Linked DNA regions of Saccharomyces cerevisiae S288C. The protein of the gene in region 1 purifies or fractionates together with the protein of each later gene. This does not show direct contact. Each region holds a gene or a part of one and is shown in the gene's direction. Other genes may lie near its edges.

Region 1 (4,871 bases):
TATTAGCTCAAGAGATATTCTAACTTTCTTCAGAATGGGTGTAAGCCACTTGGTAGAAAATAAGATCTTCCAAAATTTCTTTCCAGACCTGTTCTCATCACTACAAAATGACGAGCTGGTGGAAAGTTTTTGGATTAACAAGCCTTTTGGTCTCATAATAGCTTGTCTGGGTATGTCCATTTCGTTAAATCAAGATTCTCAAAAACTATGGTTTATCTGTTGTACGAATTTGTATGCTAGCTCATCTAAACATGACAATGACTTTGACACTGAGGACATTTTGTCACAGACAGAGCAACATGATGTTTTTGCCTTGATTCTATTTTATTCTCTTCTAGTAATGTTGGAGAATAACATTCCTGTTTCTAATTCCATTAAAAAGTTCGATGTGTTTTCAATGCTTCAAGATATTCTGAAGCCATTCACCGTGGCATCCTCCAGTTACCATTATTTGAATAGTAAGGAAAATGCATGGTTCATATTCGATCTATGGGTCAATATCTTGCGCGATTCAAACAACTTCAACAACGATTCTTTACTAATATTTGGTTGGTTCGTCAATCAAGAGTTTATTTCGTCTAATCCACTTAAGGACTTCATATACAAGGGACCGTCAATGTCCACTACTGACTTAACTTTAAAGCATATCAATATTTTGGCAGATTCCGCGTACGTGTATTTTATAATAAAGAAGACTTATCCGCAAGAGCTGCCATCTGATTTTAGAGTGCATGATTTGCTGGTTTACTTGAATGAATGTTTCGTAATGCAGCAGCCGATCAAACCTGAAACTAGTGCAAACCCCTCTTTATTTGCGAACGTTATGAACGCCAGGATTACGGACTGCAAATCGAAAAGTAACTGGTTATTGTGGGAAACGATTTGGTTCGAATTCATCAACAACTTGACTTTGAGAAATGGGACCACAAGGAACATATGGTTCATTGATAACTTTCCACAGGTATCGACCTCGTGCTTACTTCATCATTCTTCCTCATTTGTTGATGAAACCTTGATCACCACGAACTTATCAATCATATCAATGCTTCTTAATTTGAAGTCTTTCACGCTGGCATCTTTAAACCCAAGGAATATTCAGTTAATTACCGACATTGTCAGCTTCCAACTAAAATTGTTTTCATCGGAGTTAATTGCAAGCTCGGATGTTTCACCATCACAAGTATCTCAATTACTAGTAAACCCCAATGTTCACCTAATGTTATATTTCTGGTTCGATACCATTTATGTACAACGTCAGAGCTACCTTTCATCAACAGAGAAAGAGGAATTTGAGAAGGTTGAAGTGTTTGTGAATGACTACATTATAACACACCAAAAGAACTTGGTGACAGACTTACACTCCATTTTGTTCGATTTTTGGTCAGATTCCTTCATTGCTTACCATATACTACTGCATGCTATTGTATCTTCATTAAGAGATAATATTCTTTACCCATACTTAATCTACTCCCCTCACCTGAATGACCAGACGAAAGCATTGTTGACTGATATCTCTAATTGGTCTTGTTTTGCTCTTCAACAGCCGTTTCGCAAGACTTCAAGAGGTTCTTTATCTGGTGCTTCTGATATGAAATCGTTTTCAGTAGCATCATGTTTGCCACTCTCTCCTAATTTCCTAAAGAGAGATTCAAACTGTAATAAGATTCTCCTGCCCCCATTAGATATAAAAGCCATTGAACCTATCTCAACGAGTAATTACACCTACGTGAACTCGGCCCCTAAGCAACAAGAGAAGGAACAACCATTGTTAAGGGCAACAGGAAACAATATCAATTTAGTCCAAACAATAGTGGTCCCACCCCAGGTAAACATGGAATCACAAGAATTCTCAGCTTCTTCAACTGACAATAAACAAAGTAAAAACATTGAAATTTTTAGCCAAATAAAATAATGGCCAAAGAAATGTTGTTAACAACACTAATAACATTAAAGTTTAATACAACCACAAACGATATACATAAATCTACATAATAATTTTAATACTTCCCACAAGTTTGCCTAAAAGTAAATACCATTTTTTGTGTGCTTATTCCGCTGCGATGGTTACTACTACATGTAAGAGGTGCTCAGTAAAAGGAAGTACAAAACGTCTTTCGCGTTTACCTGTGCTCCATGCGCCTTAATCAATACTCTCAAGGCCTTCTTAACCTTGGCGTTTTCTTAAGTGTTCTGTTCACATTCGATAACAAAATTTAGAATGTCTTTTCACCCCTCTTTTTTCTGGTAATGGTTCGAATGTATGCGGTACCTTTTTTTAACAATAGTCTTCAGGGCACCCTTAAAAATGCTTCGATGAACCATTACAGAAAAAGAAAGTAGGGAAAAATGATGTAATTGTATATGTTGTTTAGTTTAATATTTGATAAAAACATATAAAAAGGGCAATCATGATGGCCATCGACGAGTTATCTTTATCCTTTCGTATTGTGTTATGAGACTTTTCATTTAAAATATACTGTAGGTATGACATCACTGAATATCATGGGAAGAAAGTTTATTCTAGAAAGGGCCAAAAGAAATGACAACATTGAAGAAATATATACTTCGGCCTATGTCTCTCTACCCTCCTCAACTGATACACGTTTGCCTCACTTCAAAGCAAAAGAAGAGGACTGTGATGTTTACGAGGAAGGGACCAATTTAGTGGGTAAGAATGCTAAATATACCTACAGATCCCTTGGTAGACATTTAGATTTTTTGAGGCCAGGATTGAGATTTGGCGGTTCGCAATCGTCAAAGTACACGTATTATACGGTGGAAGTGAAGATTGATACCGTAAACTTGCCACTTTACAAGGATTCGCGTTCTTTGGACCCGCATGTCACAGGTACTTTCACTATTAAAAATTTAACACCAGTCCTAGATAAAGTTGTTACCCTTTTTGAAGGGTATGTCATCAATTATAACCAATTCCCGTTATGTTCACTGCATTGGCCCGCTGAGGAGACGCTCGACCCTTATATGGCTCAGAGAGAAAGTGATTGCTCTCATTGGAAGAGGTTTGGTCATTTTGGTTCTGATAACTGGTCGTTAACGGAAAGAAATTTTGGTCAGTATAATCATGAAAGTGCAGAATTTATGAATCAACGATATATTTATCTTAAATGGAAGGAAAGGTTCCTACTTGATGATGAGGAACAAGAAAATCTGATGTTGGACGATAATCATCATCTGGAAGGCGCGTCATTTGAGGGATTTTACTATGTGTGTTTAGACCAGCTAACAGGTTCAGTGGAAGGCTACTACTATCATCCCGCTTGTGAATTGTTTCAAAAACTCGAACTCGTTCCAACCAACTGCGACGCATTGAACACCTACTCAAGTGGATTTGAAATTGCCTAAAGACCCTTATAGAATTACCAATGTATGTTTGTTTACTCGTCAACCATGTCTCTTTTAAAAGCACATTGTTCTTGATATTACATCAATAAGTAAACTAGTAACCCTTTACATATATCCACGTCATGTATGCCCTTTTTGTAGTTCGAAATAAAAACATTTCTATCATTAGTGCCGGTTAATAATTAGTTGGCGATATCCTTGCAATAAAATAAAAATACTTGAATTGATGATTCGTTTACAGAGGCTCAAGAACACTCAGGAAAACATTATTGCTTTAAATTGACATAGTGTTCTTATGGTAGAAGCTTTCTTAATCACCAGCAAAAAATATTTGGTAAGTAAAACGTTAGCGAGGATATGCTGCAACCATCATTGCTGAACAAGTTATTGGCAACCTACTTATGCGGAGGACTAATGATTACTCAACGTTCTTCTTGAGACGAATGATTACAACCTTACAACCAAGATATAAAAACTTTAGTTTAAGCCCAACTTTATTACAATATCCTTAGACGGCAGCTGGCTCGTGGGATTTTTTCAAGTGTTAGTCCGGTTCTGCAACTACTGCTGAATTCGGCTGCATTGAAAAGCTCAAATTAAAATCATCGTCAATTATTCTCATTACTTCAATCTTTGCTAGTACGCCTTTCACATGGCCTGTCGATCCTATGCTCCTACAACTAAAATGTCCTTTACTAACATGATTGCCTCCATTGCTACAATTGCGTCAGCTAAGATACTGCCGTAGTCTACTAGAAAATCATCATTAGTTCACCCGAAATGGCTCTGAGATTATGAATCACTTTAGGATGATTTACACAGAAAGCGCCGTACCGCCTCCGAGACTCTTTCACCCAACTGTGAAAGGAAAAAAAAATGTGTGAAATGAAAAAAAAAGTCGAAATATGAGATGCAAGGCTAAGTTTGATGATAGCCATTCCCAAAAATCTGCATGACTCTTACGGCTATAACATAACTATATATAAAGGCTCTACACCCACGAGCAATCGCCTTTTCATTTGTTTCAATTTTCAAAAAAGGACCGACACAAATCAATAGATAATGACAATTTCGAATAAATCGTGGAGGAGCTACTTCCCACATTTGAGAAAACTACCCGAAGATGATCAGTACTTATACTCAGACGATACTAACTCCAGTATCATAGCTGAAGAGGAGCTACATCATAGCGTAGATAAGTCCTCGAAGACAGACGTTACGGCAGAAACTACAGCTGTAGAACCTCATCCTCACAATTTAAGGCATGACTTGCCATATGAAGTGAGAGATGAAGCTGGGCGTAAATGGTGGAAATATTTTGATGAATTCGAGTATCGTGTTAATAAGGAATACAAGAAATCACGTAAGTGGTACGAGTTTTTGTATCCTAATCATACTACTCAAACCAAGGCTGAAAGACGGCTTCTTTACAAGCTAGACATTATTATTGCTTTATACTTTTTTATGTTATGTTGGTCCAAGTCAGTGGATTTGAATAACTACACTAA
Region 2 (3,544 bases), on another chromosome or scaffold:
CCTTGTGGTCGTCATGACAGGTAACTACGGTGCCCCTTCGGACCTCGGATTGCCCATCTGTTTGTTGTTAATCTTTCAATTGATGTTTGCATCGCTGATTGTGATGTTATTAGACGAATTGCTATCTAAGGGTTACGGCTTGGGTTCCGGTATTTCTCTGTTCACGGCAACCAATATTGCCGAACAAATTTTCTGGAGAGCGTTTGCTCCTACTACAGTCAATTCCGGTCGTGGTAAGGAGTTCGAAGGTGCTGTGATTGCCTTTTTCCATCTTTTGGCTGTCAGAAAGGACAAGAAAAGAGCCCTTGTCGAGGCCTTTTACCGTACCAATCTACCTAATATGTTCCAAGTGTTGATGACCGTGGCCATCTTCCTCTTTGTTTTATATTTACAAGGCTTCCGTTACGAATTGCCCATCAGGTCAACCAAAGTGAGAGGTCAAATTGGTATCTACCCCATCAAACTCTTTTATACTTCCAACACCCCAATCATGTTGCAGAGTGCATTGACTTCTAACATTTTCTTGATCTCTCAAATCCTTTTCCAGAAATACCCAACCAATCCATTGATTCGTTTGATCGGTGTTTGGGGTATCAGGCCGGGCACCCAGGGCCCTCAAATGGCCTTGAGCGGGTTGGCCTACTACATCCAACCATTAATGTCTTTATCCGAAGCTCTTCTGGACCCTATCAAGACCATCGTCTACATCACATTTGTTCTTGGTTCATGCGCAGTATTTTCCAAGACATGGATCGAAATCTCCGGCACTTCCCCACGTGACATTGCCAAACAATTCAAAGATCAAGGCATGGTCATTAACGGTAAGAGAGAAACCTCCATTTACAGAGAATTGAAGAAGATCATTCCAACTGCTGCTGCTTTCGGCGGTGCTACCATCGGTGCTCTTTCTGTTGGCTCCGACCTACTAGGTACTTTAGGTTCTGGGGCATCCATTTTGATGGCTACTACCACCATCTACGGCTACTACGAAGCTGCCGCCAAGGAAGGTGGGTTTACTAAGAACCTCGTTCCAGGATTTTCTGATTTGATGTGAATATAAAATGAAAATAATATCCAAAGAAAAAAAAAATCGCATTTAGCCACACCCCTCCCTCTATTTTTTTATTTTGTTACCATAGTTTTATCAACGCCTTCTTACACCTGTATAGAGCTAAATAACTATATATATGTATGCGCAAATAATTCCTAGAAAATCGTCGATTTTTATAAATTCTAACCGCCGATTAACAATATCATACGCGATCTAAATTTATAATAGGCGTGAAGCAAAGGAAGTTGATAAAAAAAAAGTAAAGAACTCCTCATAGGGGGCTCGAACCCCTGACATTTCGGTATCCTTGCTTAAGCAAATGCGCTTAAAAGCCGAACGCTCTACCAACTGAGCTAACAAGGATGAGTTCTTCGAATTTTCCAGTCTAAGATAGACAACCCATCAAACTGCATGGTCCCGGGCTAACTTCTGCTCTCTTTTCCGGACGGATGGAATCGCCGCTTTTGAATTCACCTCCGGGGTATTATTATTATTCTTAGTAGTCGCGGTCGTGCGGACACCCGGAGTTATGCGGGCCCGAAAGCTCATTATGTAGTAAAGCTAGGTAATGTTAAGGGCGTAAGAGCCAACGCAAGGCAGCAATAGCCTGGTATTCCCACATATCAAGAAAGCTTAAAAAGTTGAGACAGGGAATTTGAAGGCGAAGATTGCCGAACTGGCCAATACCCACTACTTTTTTTTTGGTTTGCTTGGTTTCTTCCTGTCGCTTGCCAACTTGTGGCATCTTCCCCACACTATATTATAAGGATCGTCCTATGTATAGGCAATATTATCCATTTCACTCGCTAACAAATGTACGTATATATATGGAGCAACAAGTAGTGCAATTACAGACGTGTATTTTGTCTTGATCTTGCTTTTTGTATGATAGGCCTAAGAATAACAGTGCGAACATATAAGAAACATCCCTCATACTACCACACATATGCCAACTCTAGTAAATGGACCAAGAAGAGACTCTACCGAAGGGTTTGATACCGATATCATCACTCTTCCTAGATTCATAATCGAGCACCAGAAGCAATTTAAGAACGCTACTGGTGATTTCACATTAGTACTGAATGCCTTGCAATTCGCGTTCAAATTTGTATCTCACACCATCAGACGTGCTGAATTGGTTAACTTGGTTGGGTTAGCAGGCGCTTCCAACTTCACTGGTGACCAGCAAAAGAAGTTGGACGTTCTAGGTGATGAAATATTTATCAATGCCATGAGGGCTAGTGGGATCATCAAGGTCCTTGTATCTGAAGAACAGGAAGACTTGATCGTTTTTCCCACAAACACGGGCTCATACGCAGTGTGTTGTGATCCTATTGATGGCTCCTCAAATTTGGACGCCGGTGTCTCCGTTGGAACTATCGCGTCTATATTCAGACTGCTACCAGACTCATCAGGTACTATAAACGACGTACTGAGATGTGGTAAAGAAATGGTAGCCGCTTGCTATGCCATGTACGGATCCTCTACGCATCTAGTATTGACATTGGGTGATGGAGTTGATGGGTTTACCTTAGACACAAACTTGGGCGAATTCATCTTGACTCATCCTAACTTAAGAATTCCGCCTCAAAAGGCCATCTACTCAATTAATGAAGGTAACACCCTCTACTGGAACGAGACTATAAGAACATTTATTGAGAAAGTCAAACAACCCCAAGCAGACAACAACAACAAGCCTTTCTCGGCTAGGTATGTTGGATCCATGGTTGCTGATGTTCACAGGACGTTTCTTTACGGTGGCCTTTTCGCATACCCTTGCGACAAGAAGAGCCCCAACGGAAAACTGAGGTTGCTTTATGAGGCCTTCCCAATGGCTTTCTTAATGGAACAAGCAGGGGGAAAAGCGGTCAACGATCGCGGAGAGAGAATCTTGGATTTGGTGCCAAGTCATATCCATGACAAATCTTCTATTTGGTTGGGTTCTTCAGGTGAAATTGACAAATTTTTAGACCATATTGGCAAGTCACAGTAGTTCAATGATCGCCTTCTTTTCTTATTTTCTTTGTTCTGTACTTTAGTACGCGAAAAAAAAAAATCTGTATATGTCCTTATATATATATATATTTATATATATATATGTGTATGTATGTGTACCGTAAGCATTACTCCTTCTAATAATGAAAATTCTTAGGAAAAGAGAAAGGAAGTAGCGAATGGAATGGGATGGAAGTTTTAAAGAACATTAGAATTTATCCTTTGTCAAACTTCATCACATCAACCAAGAACTATATAAACCTACCAAATGAATTAAGAAACCTAATTAGTGAAGAGCAGGAGAGTAAACTAGGGTTCTTGCACATCATTGAAAGTGATTTTAAACCTTCGGTAGCGCTGCAAAAGTTGGTGAATTGTACTACGGGGGACGAAAAGATCCTAATCATAGATATAGTATCAATATGGTCCCAACAAAAGCAAAGACAGCATGGCGCGATCTACATGAATTCGCTATCTTGCATAAACATCACGGGATTA

The links.
Region 2: the proteins of GID10 (region 1) and FBP1 purify together in Saccharomyces cerevisiae (affinity purification with western blotting, with the first as the bait; one study listed by BioGRID). This does not show direct contact.

Annotation. Positions count from the first base shown.
Region 1 is NC_001139.9:619,413-624,283, reverse strand, and holds GID10 (Gid10p), read left to right. Parts: upstream 1-2,484; coding exon 2,485-3,363; downstream 3,364-4,871. Other genes in the region: YGR067C (uncharacterized protein), read left to right, coding at 1-1,912; VHT1 (Vht1p), read left to right, coding at 4,426-4,871. UniProt on the Saccharomyces cerevisiae protein: Substrate-recognition component of the GID E3 ligase complex recruiting N termini and catalyzing ubiquitination of proteins targeted for degradation.
Region 2 is NC_001144.5:873,246-876,789, reverse strand, and holds FBP1 (fructose 1,6-bisphosphate 1-phosphatase), read left to right. Parts: upstream 1-1,997; coding exon 1,998-3,044; downstream 3,045-3,544. Other genes in the region: translocon subunit SEC61, read left to right, coding at 1-1,054; PSY3 (Psy3p), read left to right, coding at 3,236-3,544.